Neurospora crassa OR74A: one gene and its partners. The protein of the gene in region 1 purifies or fractionates together with the protein of each later gene. This does not show direct contact. Links are inferred from orthologs where the notes say so. Each region holds a gene or a part of one and is shown in the gene's direction. Other genes may lie near its edges.

Region 1 (4,694 bases):
GGGACAAATCGATAGAAAGCAGGGAGTTCGCTACGGAAGAGTTAGGATATTCCATAGTTTCAAGAGTTAATGCGTGGAGAGTCTTACAGTATTGAAAGGTGATGTCAGTACCGCTGTAGTACGAGACCTCACCGCCGTCAATGTACACGCGCCCGTTTAAAACCGCGGCTTTGGTTCGATTAGCCAGATGGTCATGATGCACTGAGAAAAAGACAATGACGGCAATGCTCACACGATTGATAGCCTCTGCGCAGAAATGTCGAGGGACTGATAGCACCGTTAACCTGTCGTGGAAGGATGATTGATTCATCTGCCTTGGGTAGGGTGATAGTGCTACCCGCCTGGCAAATCCACGGCTGTATTACACAGCACAGAAGGGAAGTCGACCTCCTGACCATGATGACTGATTTCAGAGGGCAACAAGAGAGAGAAGAGAAGAATGGGAGAGGAGGAAGAAATTTCTGAGCAAAATGCTACGCGTGTCAGCTTTCTACCCACGAAAAGGGCTAGCTCCCCTGAAGCGCCATCGAGACATGGTGGTAGGTGATGATCCTATAGGATCCGACTGTAATTATAAACGAGGTCGGGAGAGGTGAGCCACGGTAATATCACCGTGGACTGTCAATGGTGCCTGTTGACTGCTACCTGGCGGCTGCTCGGCCCCTTTCGTATCTTAGCGTACCCAAGGGTTGCATCAAGTCAGCACTACAGTAGGAGATAAGGCTGATCCCTACTCGTCGAGTAACAAGTAAAAGTGAGCCTGCTCAGAACAGAGAGGGTGATCACCGGAGAGCGGGCGTTTGTGCGATGCAGCACAGCCGCGAGTTTACCATCTGCTGGCTTGACTGACTGAGCCTGCGAGCGAGCGAGTTGTTTGATTGAGTTCCCCCGCGACAGGCGGATTCTTCAGGATAACCCGACGGTAACACAAAAAGGTATTTTGGTCGTGCTCGACACAGTGGGCTGAAACAGGATGGGGCGAGCAGGGTACGGTTCTTGAAGAACACCAAATGCTGGCATGAGTGGTAGGATCGACACAAGACCGAGCATTAGGACAGAGATGCGAGCAGGCTAATCAGAGCTAGCCAAAACTCAACGGCCAGCCGGCCACAGGTCGGAATCATGACTGGAGCCCAAGGGTAACGGAATCAAAGCTTGACGTCTCCCGAGGCGTCGATGGTGAGGGCAAGCATACGATGCTGAATAGGTACCTATTCAATTTCCATGTCGAGATGTCGCGATTCGCCAATGTTGTTTTTCATTCATGATCCGACGCCGCGGGAACATCACTGCACCGGGAAAACACTTGGTACATCCGACAATTTCGTGCTGACGGAACAAAGGTTGCAACTTGCAGCTTGGAGATGCAGTTTACCACGGCGGCCGCGGTGGCACGGTGAGGTAAGTGGTGATTGGCGTCAGCTCGTCGGCTACGCACCAGCTGGCAAGCAGCCTCCCGTCGTCTGTCAGCAGAGCTGCCCCCTGCCTTTCGATGGAGGGGAACGAGGTACCTGTCCTTTTCAACAACTGGAGGGGAGCAAATGACAACAGAGCCGCAAATCAGAAATTGATACTATCGCCTGTTGCAGTCGGCTTCCATTGCAGTAGAAGCGATTGGGGTATTTCTGAACATTTTGATCCCATCACCTTGTCGCAAACGACTTGACCGATTGCAGAAGAGCAGCGCGTCGTTAACTCTGTGATCTTGCGCAGGGCTTCCTGGACGACAGTCAACACTTTAAAGTGGACCTTGAATTTTCAGGAGCGTCGAAAAAGAGGTTCTTCAGTTCAGTTGTTGCATCTTCCTGGCGACACACCACAACTGGGATCCCGTCCATACCTTATTGCCTCCCCCCGCGGTATGTACTCGCACGGAGCCCGCTTTTCCCCCTAGCTTCCACATCTAGCCTCAGGTCCCGCCTGCCGCAAGACAGCTGCTGTGGACTGTGTGGTGGACGGTGGATGTCTCGAGTGTCTCGTGCGTTCCAGGTCTCGGAGCTAATGACACCTTGCACGTAGCCGCCCGACGACGTTGCCCGTTGCCCGCCGCCCGCCCCGTACCTATCTCTGGAGCTACCACCGCGTAGACGACGGATCATCCACATTAATTCCCTTAATCTTCTAATCCAACAAACCGCCGACACCACCATCACCCCTCTCCAGCTGTTCCTCTCTATCCCCGACTGCGACCATCGACCGAGGACGCCGCCGCCGACATCAACATGGATTACGAAGCCCTCAAGGAGCAATGGGGCGAGGTCGAGGACCGTGATGGCGTTCGTCTGAGCTGGAATGTCTTCCCCAGCACCCGCATGGTCAGTTCCGCTCTTTCGCATACTTGCTACTTCGCGTCACCCCTTTATCGCTGACCCTTTCTTCAGGAAGCTTCGAGACTCGTCGTCCCCATCGGCGCCCTTTATACCCCTCTCAAGGAGAAGCCCGACACGCCTCTGCTGCAGTTCGACCCCGTCAGTTGCAAGCAGCCCTGCCGCTCCGTGTTAAACCCCTACTGGTGAGCCATCTTCGTCGCCCCGACTTGTCGCGCCCATTGCTGATACCCTCGCCCAGTCAAGTCGATGTGCGCGCCCGCCTGTGGATCTGCCCCTTCTGTCTCTCGAGGAATCCTCTCCCGCCACACTACAAGGACATCACCGCAAATGCGATTCCACCCGAGCTGCACCCTTCCAACACTACCATCGAGTACAGGCTCTCGCGGCCCGCCCCCGCCCCTCCGATCTTCCTCTATGTCGTCGATACGTGCCAGGAGGAGGACAGCTTGGCTGCTCTCAAGGAGTCGCTCATCATGAGCTTGAGCCTATTGCCCGAGCACGCCCTTGTCGGCCTGATTACATACGGCACCATGGCCCAGGTCCACGAGATTGGCTATACCGAGTGCCCTAAATCATATGTTTTCCGCGGTAACAAGGAGTACGCGGCCAAGCAGGTCCAGGAGATGCTTGGGCTCGTACAACCTGCCATGCGTCCGGGCATGCCTATGCAACAGCCTGGCAGGCCCTTCCCGGCCGGCCCTGCCTCAAGATTCTTGCTTCCGGTCTCTCAGGCCGAGTTCCAGTTGACCAAGGCCATTGAGCAGCTTCAGAAGGATCCCTGGCCTGTTGCCGGTAACCTCAGAGCCTTGCGCTGCACCGGTGTTGCGTTGTCCGTAGCTGTTGGCCTGCTCGAAACGTCGTTCCAGAATGCCGGTGGTCGCATTATGCTCTTTGCTGGTGGTCCGGCCACTGAGGGACCTGGCATGGTTGTTGGCCCCGAGCTGAGGGAACCGATCCGCTCCCATCACGATATCGACCGTGACAACATCAAGTATTACAAGAAGGCACTCAAGGTACGTTCATCTTCAAGTTGTGGTGCAGGAAACAGTCTGTGTCATGCTAACATTTATTATAGTTCTACGACAACCTCGCTAAGCGAACGGCGCACAACGGCCACACTATTGACATTTTTGCCGGCTGTCTTGATCAAGTTGGTCTACTTGAAATGAAGGGTCTGTGCAACTCGACGGGTGGCCACATGATTCTGACGGACAGCTTCACCTCATCCATGTTCAAGCAGTCATTCGTCCGCATTTTCGAAAAGGACGCGGATGACAATCTGCTCATGGGCTTCAATGCGGTTTTGGAAGTACTTACAACGAAGGAACTCAAGGTTACTGGGTTGATTGGTCATGCAGTCTCTCTCAACAAAAAATCGACGTCCGTCGGCGAAACCGAGTGCGGCATAGGTAACACTTGCACGTGGAAGATGTGCGGTATCGACCCCAGCTCCAGCTACGGTATCTACTTCGAAATCGCCAACCAAGGCGGCCCGTCCCAGAACATGCAGAGTCCCCAAAAGGGAATGATGCAGTTCTTGACTTATTACCAGCACTCGTCTGGCCACTTCCACCTTCGGGTGACCACCATTGCCCGAAACCTCAGCGGCCCCGCCGGAGACCCGGCCATCGCGCAGTCATTTGACCAGGAGGCAGCAGCCGTGCTTATGTCGCGTATCGCTGTTTTCAAGGCGGAGGTTGACGATGGGCCTGATGTGCTCCGGTGGGTTGACCGCATGCTCATCAGGCTCTGCGCCAGATTTGCCGATTACCGCAAGGACGACCCGTCATCGTTCCGCTTGGAAAAGAACTTCACGCTGTACCCACAGTTCATGTTCCACTTGCGTAGGAGTCAGTTCTTGCAAGTCTTTAACAACTCTCCCGATGAGACCGCATTCTATCGGCACGTTCTCAACCATGAGGATGTTAGTAACTCGCTCATCATGATTCAACCAACGCTCGACTCCTACACCTTCGACCAAGAAGGCGGTGTCCCCGTTCTGCTCGACTCTACCTCCATTCAGCCTACCCACATCCTCCTGCTCGATACCTTCTTCCACATTCTGATCTTCCATGGTGAGACGATTGCGGAATGGAGAAAGGCCGGCTACCAAGACCAAGAGGGATACGAGAACTTTGCTGCGCTTTTGGAGCAGCCCAAGGAAGATGCAAGGGTAAGTTGTCTCCTGTTCATCTCTGATCGAATTATGTTGGGGCTTTTTTTCTGACCGTGTACAGGATCTTATTACCGACCGTTTCCCTCTCCCTCGTTTCATTGTTTGCGACCAGGGCGGTTCCCAAGCTCGTTTCCTGCTTTCTAAGCTTAACCCTTCCACTACCCATACATCAGGTGCTGGCGCCTATG
Region 2 (4,510 bases), on another chromosome or scaffold:
GTACCACTGACACCACCCTCGCGGGCACCGCCGAGGCCAACACCCCCTTTGAAAGCAAGGGCAAGGGCAAGGCCGCCGCTGAGTCCGAGGACCACCCCATGGGTGAGGCAGAGGACGACGAGGATGATGAAGATGAGGATGAGACTGAGGTGAGCTAAATCCTGAAGGCATCAAACTTGCTTCTCAAAACACTCTTCTTCGCATTGTCCGTGCTAACCCTTCCGTTTGCAGGAGCCCGAAGCTGGTACGTTAATTGCCTTTAAATCCATCAGCCAACGCCCAATCACGGGTGACGATCGCGCAGCAACAGCTTACGTACAGGAACTAACATGAACAAAAACAGAGGAAGACAACCTCGAGGAGATCGACCCCAGCAATGTGATCAGTGGTCCCCGCACTCGCCAGAAGGAGATCGACTATGCCAAGGCCGCTCAGGACTTGCCTGCCGAGGAGGACGATGAGGAGGACGACGAGGAGTTTGTGCCCGAGGATGAGGAAATGGAGGAGTAGTCCGAGGCTATCTTCTGATTTCCTTTGATGGTTCACAACAACAACAACAACAACAACAATGACAACAGATTCTTGTTTTCTTTCTTCCTGGGTTTCCCCGTTGGCTCTGCGCTTTGCTCGCTGCCAGTGGTTGAGTTTTATGATGATCACGAGCTTGGAGATGTAAGCCGTCTTTTGGCTGATTGCTAAGCCTGATTGGCTGGACCTATTTATGTACGTGAATGTCAGCTATAAGGCCTGGGGTTGTTTGGTTCAATGCGTTGGGAGTTCCCACAATCAGAATTTGGCAATACATGATAAGGGTGTAAGTGATCATTCGTTTATCAGTTCAGGTAGACCGATCTCTTCTGTCAGCCAATTTCAAAGTATCAACATACTACGTACGTTGGTGTATCAGAATACGCTTGATCGCTTGTCTTCACTAACCTAACCCCCATAAGTGGAGACATTGGATGATTCCCCTGTCAGCTCAAGGGCAGTTGGCCTGTTGAGATGGGGTGCCACTAAACTAACCGCGAGGCAGCCTGAAGGGGGTGATATGTCTACGGCTGACCTATGAAAAGGTAATATTCCGGCGAATTCTAGAGTTGCTATGACCATCGAGATTTGATATCGGTCCTGTTCCTGGAGTACACAGCAGACGTCAGGAACCGGAGCATCGCACCAGCCACCAACAAGGTTCGCGATCTTGGCCTGATCCACCGGGTATTCTACGCAGTACCATACACCAGCTTCTTTGACGCCAACATCTGTGAGAATGCATGCCTTCGACTTGGAAAGCTTCAACGATTCTGAAAGTCTCGGATTTGGGCTTAGATTCGCTTCAATAAGTCCATACTTGAGTCTATGCGCCTTGCGCAATCTAACGTGGATCAACTTATTGCTGACGCGACAAGCTGAGAGAGAAAAAAAAAAAAAAAAAAAAAAAAAAAAAGGTAGAGGAAGAATGGAGACGCTGAACGCCCAATTAGCCAATATCAGTGGAAGCAACACGGGCACCTCTCGGAGGGACTTTGAACAACGCCGAACATGAACCCTCCGACATAAAGAAAAATTGAATGATTAAAACCAGATACATTGGGGAAAATAGTGTCAAGTTCTCTCGGAGAGGAAGACGTGACACCAACCCAGATGTTCAATCAACGTGTCCTTGTCAGCATCATGCGGCACGAACAACATTGTACCTTTTAGCCATTACATATGTATCACCCAGACACGGACTGACGTTGTAGTTTATGTACATGGACGGCGCACCAAGGTAACATCTGGCCAGAACAGGCCTAACAACCACCCAAACTAAAAAGGGGGATCTGCCGGCGCTGGCGGCCAAGGGTCCACGGGCATTCAACTTTATTTTCTTTCTTCACCACCCGCACACCCCCCGCCCGACGCTACCTCTATGGAACCTGCCAATTCATCATCTCTAATACCTACCCACACTCTTACAAGTTAGCTAGCATTTACCTGTCAGGATTCTCGAAGACGGATCGACCTAAATTTGCTCTCCATGATGGCTTCCAGGTGAGTGCGATTCTCTTGTACGTTCGTCTTAGCATTGCACCACACCACACGCAAATGCCACCTTTCACATTTCGAAATGCGACTTGGCCTGTCAACTCGACCAAACCCACGACCGACACGCGATGAAGCGAGCGGCCGACCGAGCTGCCCGGCTCCGGTGAACGGGTGTACGATATTGCCACCGGAAGATATCTGCGGACCAAAGGCAGCAGCTATCGATGTTATGGTGGTTGGTTTGACAAGTCACGATTTCTCGACCTGCCCCCCCTGGTCATGGCGCGACGGCCTCAACTACGTCATCGCTCTGGTTTCAGAGTCTCGCCAACACGCCTCCAACCATGCCATGGTAGGATACGATACGAGTTCACTACCGTGATGTGATGCAGTCGCAACAGCGGCGCAACCACAGCAGCACTGGCGACGAGAGCGAGAATGACAGCGAAACCGAAAGCGTCAACTCGATCCATCCACCATGCCCCCGGGTCGTCCTCGATTCGACTTTGACCACCCACCACAACCCCCATCCCACCAACCCCTTAATCCTTCGAACAAGACAAGACAACACCCTTCTAACAATTAGTCCGCTTTTCTTTTTCTCCGGAGTACAGATTTGCACATTCCTCTCTACACCAGCGCGACCCGCGCAGCGACCTTTTCAAGGGCTACTCTGGCTCCAGCGCAGCCGAGCGCCGCTCGGCCAACGCCAGCCCAGCAAGGTATGGCGGTGGCGGCGGATACGGGTACGGGGGCGGCTATGGTGGCGGTGGGAGTTATAACGGCAGCTCGTCAACACTGGGGATGGAACGGGGCGGGTTTAGGCCTGCTACTCCAAATTCAAGGGGCCAGTACAGCGACGCAGTCCTCAACGAACTCGAGAGCCAGAATGATGAGCAGGTGGAAGGGATAATGGGTAAAGTCAAGATTTTGAAGGATGTATGTTTTTGTTCTCTCTTTCTGCTCTCCTCCCTCTCTCCCACTTCCTTCTCTCGCAAGCCACCCATCAACTAACCCCATCCCTCCCCCACAAACAGATGACTATAGCCATCGGCGATGAAATTCGAGACTCCTCCGCCCTCGCCGAGAAGATGAACGAATCCTTCGACCAAACCCGCCTCCGACTCCGTGGTACCATGAACCGAATGCTCATCATGGCACAGAAGACCAATGTCGGGTGGAGGGTGTGGCTTGCCTTTTTCGCTGCCGTGGTGTTCCTCTTTTTTTACGTGAGGTATCTCTAGTATCCTTCCAAGGTCAAGGTTTTTCTGAACTTGGAAGAGAGAAAAAGAAAGAAAAGAAAAAGACAAAGATGGAGGGATATGTTGGTCGGCGGAGTGGTCCTCCTGCTGCTGCTGCTGCTGCTGCTGCTGCTGCGCGGGGCAAAGCGATATGTTCAAGAATGATGGAAACGAGAAAAGAGACCATATATATGCAAAGGAAAGATGGGATAGTATATATATGGCTTTAACGATGGGTAATACCAATGGATGATGAGGAAAACGGAAGGTTCTAGGTCAAAGTGGCTGACTACCTTGTGGGATAGAAAAGGCATGGATATGGGTTGCCCTTGGTAGATTGCGGGCGGACTTGGTTTTTGCATGCTGGCGCCGGGGAGTTCGCGTTTGTTAAGTCGTTCGGGTAGTATCAGAAGTCGGTTTTTTTTGGTTTTTTTGTGGTACCTAATTATTTTAATCATTCTTAATCCGTTCTCCAACCAATGAGGTTCAATTATCTGGTTTAATCCACTGATCAATCATGAAGCTATATATGGGCTCCCACAAACGTGAAGTGGATAATCATTGAGCGTATAACAGACAGTTAATCAGAACTGCGTGTAGACTACCACTGCATAGACCAGACCATTGCTGTAACGAAGATCAAAGTTGTCTTTTGACGGACATTATCTATTCAATCCTGCTTCCCAAGCCACCAAGTAGCTACCCATACTGCCATGATCCCAAGACTCCATGCGCCAGACTCAAACGACCTGTTATTGAATGATGCTTGCTGACCGTTCCTACCACAACTCCTCAGTTTTAATCCTCCCTTGTTTCTCTTTCCGAACCACCGCGGACCTTCATTCTAGTGCAACCTCCTCACCCTTGGACTGCTTCTCATCATGGGACTACTCTCATCAACAGACAACAGCCCACTGATATCCAGACTGCTCCTTGGCGCTCCAATTGTGCTCCGCCTGGCATTTCCCGCAAGACTAGTCCTCAACAGCCGCTGCTGCTGCTGCTGCTGCTGTCTTGGCAGTGATACGCGGCGATGCTGGCCCTGCGCTGATCCCGCTGCCGAACCAGGTCCGTAGCTAACCCGGTGAGCGCGTCTGTGACTGCCGCTCATATTACCACCGCTACCACTGCTGCTTATGCCGATGCCTGCACCTGTACCGACTTGCTCTTGTCCTCCCTCGTTATCACTGCTGTCAAGAAGCTCCGCCTCGGAATCGGTATGCTCATAGAAACCGCTTTGCGCA
Region 3 (4,225 bases), on another chromosome or scaffold:
AACTGGCGAGTGTTGTAGGCCATATGGTCGTCCTGCAAGCCCATCATGGAGTTGTGGGTTGCAGTAGACATGGCTGCCGGCATGGCTTGAGGTGACATGGCCGGGGCCGCGTGAGCTGTGTCCTGACGGAGCTGCATGCTGGCGAACTGGTCGACCCAGCCGTGGGCAGCGGCACGGGAGGAGTGCATGGGACTGGCCGTAGCCGGCGCACCTCCGACCGCATGACCAAAGACACCAGGCGCTGGACCAGCATGAAAAGCCGGGACGCCTGGGTTGTTCAGGAACGTATTATTCGCAAGGCCGAGGGAAGGACCCGGGGCGTCGAGCATAGGGGCTTGCTGAAAGGTCTCAAAGGCACCATCAGCAGCGAAGGAGGGGCGGTTTCTGAAGGACTGGATGGGTTGTTAGCACCGAGTTACGCTGGATATTCTACGACAAGACAAAACAAAAGAAAGCGATCATATCATACAGCACCGGCAGCCGAGTTGGGCGAGTTGACCAGGCGGTCCTGGTGAAGAGTGCGGTCGCGATCAGCGTGCGCAAGAAGGTTCTTGGCACCGTTGGACGGGCCGCACATGCTGTCAGACATGTTGAGCGAGGTTTGACTTGTTGGAAGCAAAAAGGCGAGAAGCGCGGGTGACGGTAAGTTTCGAGAAAGAAATTACAAAAGTAGAAGGTTTTATAAATAAAGAGTGAGGAACGAAATGTCCTTGAAGAGAGTATATAATTATTGTAGAGCGAGGAAGACTTGGATGAGTGAGCGAAAGGAGAGTTGTAAGTTGTAAGTAATGTAGATTAGTGGCGCGAAAGTAGAAGCCGAGGTTCTTTGAACAGCGCGATAGTAGTCACCGAACCCGCCGGTATCTCAAGTCTTCAACGCTAAGTATTTGGAGAAAAGTAGTTGGAGAGGGGGGAAGATGGAAACGAGAAAAAAAAGAGTAAACAACGCCGGACCTAATACCACGAAAAGGACGCGACTGATTACTGTGTGTAAAGAAATCCTTTTAGCAAGCAAACAAAAAGCGTCGCTGATTTTGAACAAGTAATTCTGGAAGAAGGGTCAAAATGGTCAGGTCTGGTTGAGTGAGATTCCATCCCAACTTTTTGTGACGGGAGTGAACGCTGCCACGGCACTGGCGAAATTCCCGTCGGGGTAGCCATGCGCTCACACGCTATCATGTGCACGGCATGTTCAGTGGACTTTTACAGCGGGACGGGAGAGCCCAGGCGACGCGTGGGGTCGTCAACGGGCCCCTGCCTCACCTGCCCCACCTTGGTTGTCTCAACAAGAGTCCACTTCGAGCCTCCGACCTGGTTACAATAACGTCACACCACGGTGAGCCTACGAGGAAACCGACAAAGGCTCCACTCACCTTGCTCACCTTGCTCACCTTGACTTCTTGCCAGCTGGACCACATCGCTCGACAGGGATCACTGCGCAAGCGTCAAGTGGAAGCTCCAGCGCAGCAAGACGGGTTCACCTATCGTGTCGCCTGGGCGTCCACTGCCTGTAGCTTGCAGCTTCCATTCCCAATGCCCGTCCGTGGTGATCCAACTTAACAGCAACTGAATCCCCAACGACGGCCCTTTTTCCTTTCTACTACTCTGAGTAGTGTACTTTATAACTCCAGTCTGAATTCATTCATCACCCAAAGGACGCAAATACAACTCCATACAAATCTATTTGTCTTTTCCACAATCTTCAATACTCCATAATTAATCAACATGGTACGTCCTCTTACACCCCCAAAGCTGCCGGCGGCGTCCCTCCCCCTTACTTGGCTACCTATCCACTAACATGAAGCTATCGCGACAATGACAGACCGCAGGCGCACAGGTTATCGCCAACTCTGGCCACGATGATATGATTGTACGCTGAACATCGCCCCCTCGACGTTTCCCGACAACCATCCCTCTGTTTCTAACCGACCCTCGCAGCACGATGCAGTTCTCGACTACTACGGCAGGAGGTTAGCGACATGCTCCTCGGATCGCACCATCAAGATCTTCGAGATCGAGGGCGAATCACAGCGACTTGTTGAGACATTGAAGGGGTATGTTTGCGATGGGCTACAGTCACCAAACAATATGGACAATGGGTTAACCTCCCTTCTTCCGACAGACACGATGGCGCAGTTTGGTCCGTAGCATGGGCGCACCCCAAGTACGGCAACATCCTCGCCTCGGCAGGCTACGACGGCAAGGTTCTCATTTGGCGCGAGCAAGCCGGCAGCTGGCAGCGCATCTTCGACTTCGCCCTACACAAGGCTAGCGTCAACATCGTGTCCTGGTCTCCCCACGAAGCCGGATGCCTCTTGGCCTGCGCCTCTTCGGACGGCAACGTCAGCGTTCTCGAATTCAAGGATAACAGCTGGGAGCACAACATCTTCCACGCCCATGGCCTGGGCGTCAACTCGGTCTCGTGGGCCCCCGCCACCACCCCCGGCAGCATCGTCAGCAGCAACCCCGGCCCCGGCTCGACGGGCAACAGACGCTTCGTGACTGGCGGTTCCGACAACCTGCTCAAGATCTGGACCTTCGACCCCGCGACCAACGGATACAAGCTCGAGCGCGAGCCCCTGGCGGGTCATACAGATTGGGTGCGCGACGTTGCGTGGAGCCCGACTGTGCTTCAGAAGAGCTATATCGCAAGCGCCTCGCAGGACAAGACGGTGCGCATCTGGACGAGTGACGCGGCGAACCCGGGCGAGTGGAAGTGCAAGGTTCTCAACTTTGATGCGGCCGTCTGGCGCGTTAGCTGGTCGCTCAGCGGAAACGTGCTGGCCGCCAGCAGTGACAACAACAAGGTCACACTATGGAAGGAGAACCTTAAGGGCGAGTGGGAGAACGTCAAGACCATTGAGGAGTAAAATCACATGGGAATTCGGTCACGTTATGATGATGATGGGTGGCGAGCGTTAGCATAATATTGGTAGGTAGGATATCTACTCATCATCCAGAGTGGGCGTTATCGGGTAATAAATAAGGGAGGCCAGCGAAAAGGAGCAGGCTTACCTTCGGTTTCACAAGAACATATCCAGGTTGGCTTCACATGAACCGCTCGGGACAATGAAGAGATCATACCGAGTTTTATCTTACACTATCACATTACCTCGGGCTTACGGGGAGTACATTTGACCCAGTACATCCCACCTCCCAAGTCATCAACGCGCCTTATCCATCTTCTCTTCCAACCATCCCAACACAATCTCCCTTCCCCTCTCATCCAGATCCCCAACACCTTCCAAATCGCCAATCGCCATGTCCTGATCGTCCACCACGCCCACGTCCGCCACCTTGACCCTCCTCGCCGCCTCCAGCTCCCAGTGGTGGAGGTCGATCAAGTAATCCTCGTCCCACTTCCGCCGCTCTTTGAGTTCCAACATCTCAATGCTCCGCTGCATCAGCAGCGCCAGTTCGTACGCTTGCGTGCGGAAGCTGTTCTCGCCAGCGGTGATGGCGACCGGGGGTTTGCGGTGTTTTCGCGTTTTGAGACGAGGGCGGGGTTTCTTCTTTTCCTCTGCTTCGCCTTGTGCTGAGTCGCCCTCTTCGTATTTCTCTCCCTGGCCTTCTTCTTCTTCTTCTTCTTCCTCCCCCTTTATCTTCTTCTGCTTCTGCTTCTGAACACCACTAAGTCCCTTTTGATTTCTGTTCCGGGCCGCGGCATCAACAACCCCATCATCCTTCCCCCCCTCCGACGACCCAATCTTCGCCAAAGCATCACACTTGAACGGCAACTCCGCCGACGGCGTCTCATACAACAATAACGTATCCGGCAGCTTAAGCATGGAGTGCCTCGGCGGGAAATGCACATAGCTCTTACGTGGGAACTTGCCAGGTAGAATCTCTACCTTGAGAGTTTGTTGGAGCATGTCTTCGGCCGCTACCTCGTCCGGCTCGCCTTCGGCGTCGTTGATCATCGACATGTGCATACGGTAGTGCTCCGAGTGCTCCGAGTTGTCGGGATCGAGGTCGTCGGTGGGGTTTTGGCTGGCTGGGAGGGGCGACGGAGCCGGAGGTTGGTGAGGAGGGGGAGTAGAGGGGGAAGTCAATGGGTCGTGGGGTTCGCTGGGGACGTCCGCGGGGACGTTGATGTCGCCGCTGCTGACACCATTGGCGCCGGTACCGGCACCGGTAATCAATGGCCCTGGAGGTGGCGGAAAAAGCCATTCAGGAACATACTTCTCATCAAAAGTCGTCGGAACAAAAAGTCCCGCCGTGTGGA

The links.
Region 2: the proteins of NCU01318 (region 1) and NCU01741 purify together in Saccharomyces cerevisiae (affinity purification with western blotting; 4 studies listed by BioGRID, with this or other methods). This does not show direct contact. The link is inferred for Neurospora crassa OR74A from reciprocal best matches to the Saccharomyces cerevisiae genes SEC23 and BET1.
Region 3: the proteins of NCU01318 (region 1) and NCU04063 purify together in Saccharomyces cerevisiae (affinity purification with mass spectrometry; 5 studies listed by BioGRID, with this or other methods). This does not show direct contact. The link is inferred for Neurospora crassa OR74A from reciprocal best matches to the Saccharomyces cerevisiae genes SEC23 and SEC13.

Annotation. Positions count from the first base shown.
Region 1 is NC_026505.1:3,643,505-3,648,198, reverse strand, and holds the start of NCU01318 (protein transporter sec-23), read left to right. Parts: upstream 1-1,542; 5' UTR 1,543-1,859; intron 1,860-2,019; 5' UTR 2,020-2,222; coding exon 2,223-2,315; intron 2,316-2,381; coding exon 2,382-2,512; intron 2,513-2,568; coding exon 2,569-3,343; intron 3,344-3,405; coding exon 3,406-4,503; intron 4,504-4,567; coding exon 4,568-4,694. Other genes in the region: NCU01319 (hypothetical protein), read right to left, coding at 1-30, 88-168, 233-398. UniProt on the Saccharomyces cerevisiae protein: Component of the coat protein complex II (COPII) which promotes the formation of transport vesicles from the endoplasmic reticulum (ER).
Region 2 is NC_026502.1:2,582,363-2,586,872, reverse strand, and holds NCU01741 (SNARE complex subunit), read left to right. Parts: upstream 1-1,802; 5' UTR 1,803-2,017; coding exon 2,018-2,031; intron 2,032-2,639; coding exon 2,640-2,964; intron 2,965-3,062; coding exon 3,063-3,269; 3' UTR 3,270-3,767; downstream 3,768-4,510. Other genes in the region: NCU01740 (histone H2A.Z-specific chaperone chz-1), read left to right, coding at 1-149, 232-244, 344-510; NCU01742 (hypothetical protein), read right to left, coding at 4,111-4,510. UniProt on the Saccharomyces cerevisiae protein: SNARE required for targeting and fusion of ER-derived transport vesicles with the Golgi complex.
Region 3 is NC_026506.1:2,621,779-2,626,003, forward strand, and holds NCU04063 (protein transporter sec-13), read left to right. Parts: upstream 1-1,503; 5' UTR 1,504-1,725; coding exon 1,726-1,728; intron 1,729-1,822; coding exon 1,823-1,870; intron 1,871-1,938; coding exon 1,939-2,054; intron 2,055-2,122; coding exon 2,123-2,870; 3' UTR 2,871-3,164; downstream 3,165-4,225. Other genes in the region: pex20 (peroxisome biogenesis factor 20), read right to left, coding at 1-392, 470-589; NCU04064 (hypothetical protein), read right to left, coding at 3,165-4,225. UniProt on the Saccharomyces cerevisiae protein: Functions as a component of the nuclear pore complex (NPC) and the COPII coat. It is one of 5 proteins constituting the COPII coat, which is involved in anterograde (ER to Golgi) double-membrane transport vesicle formation.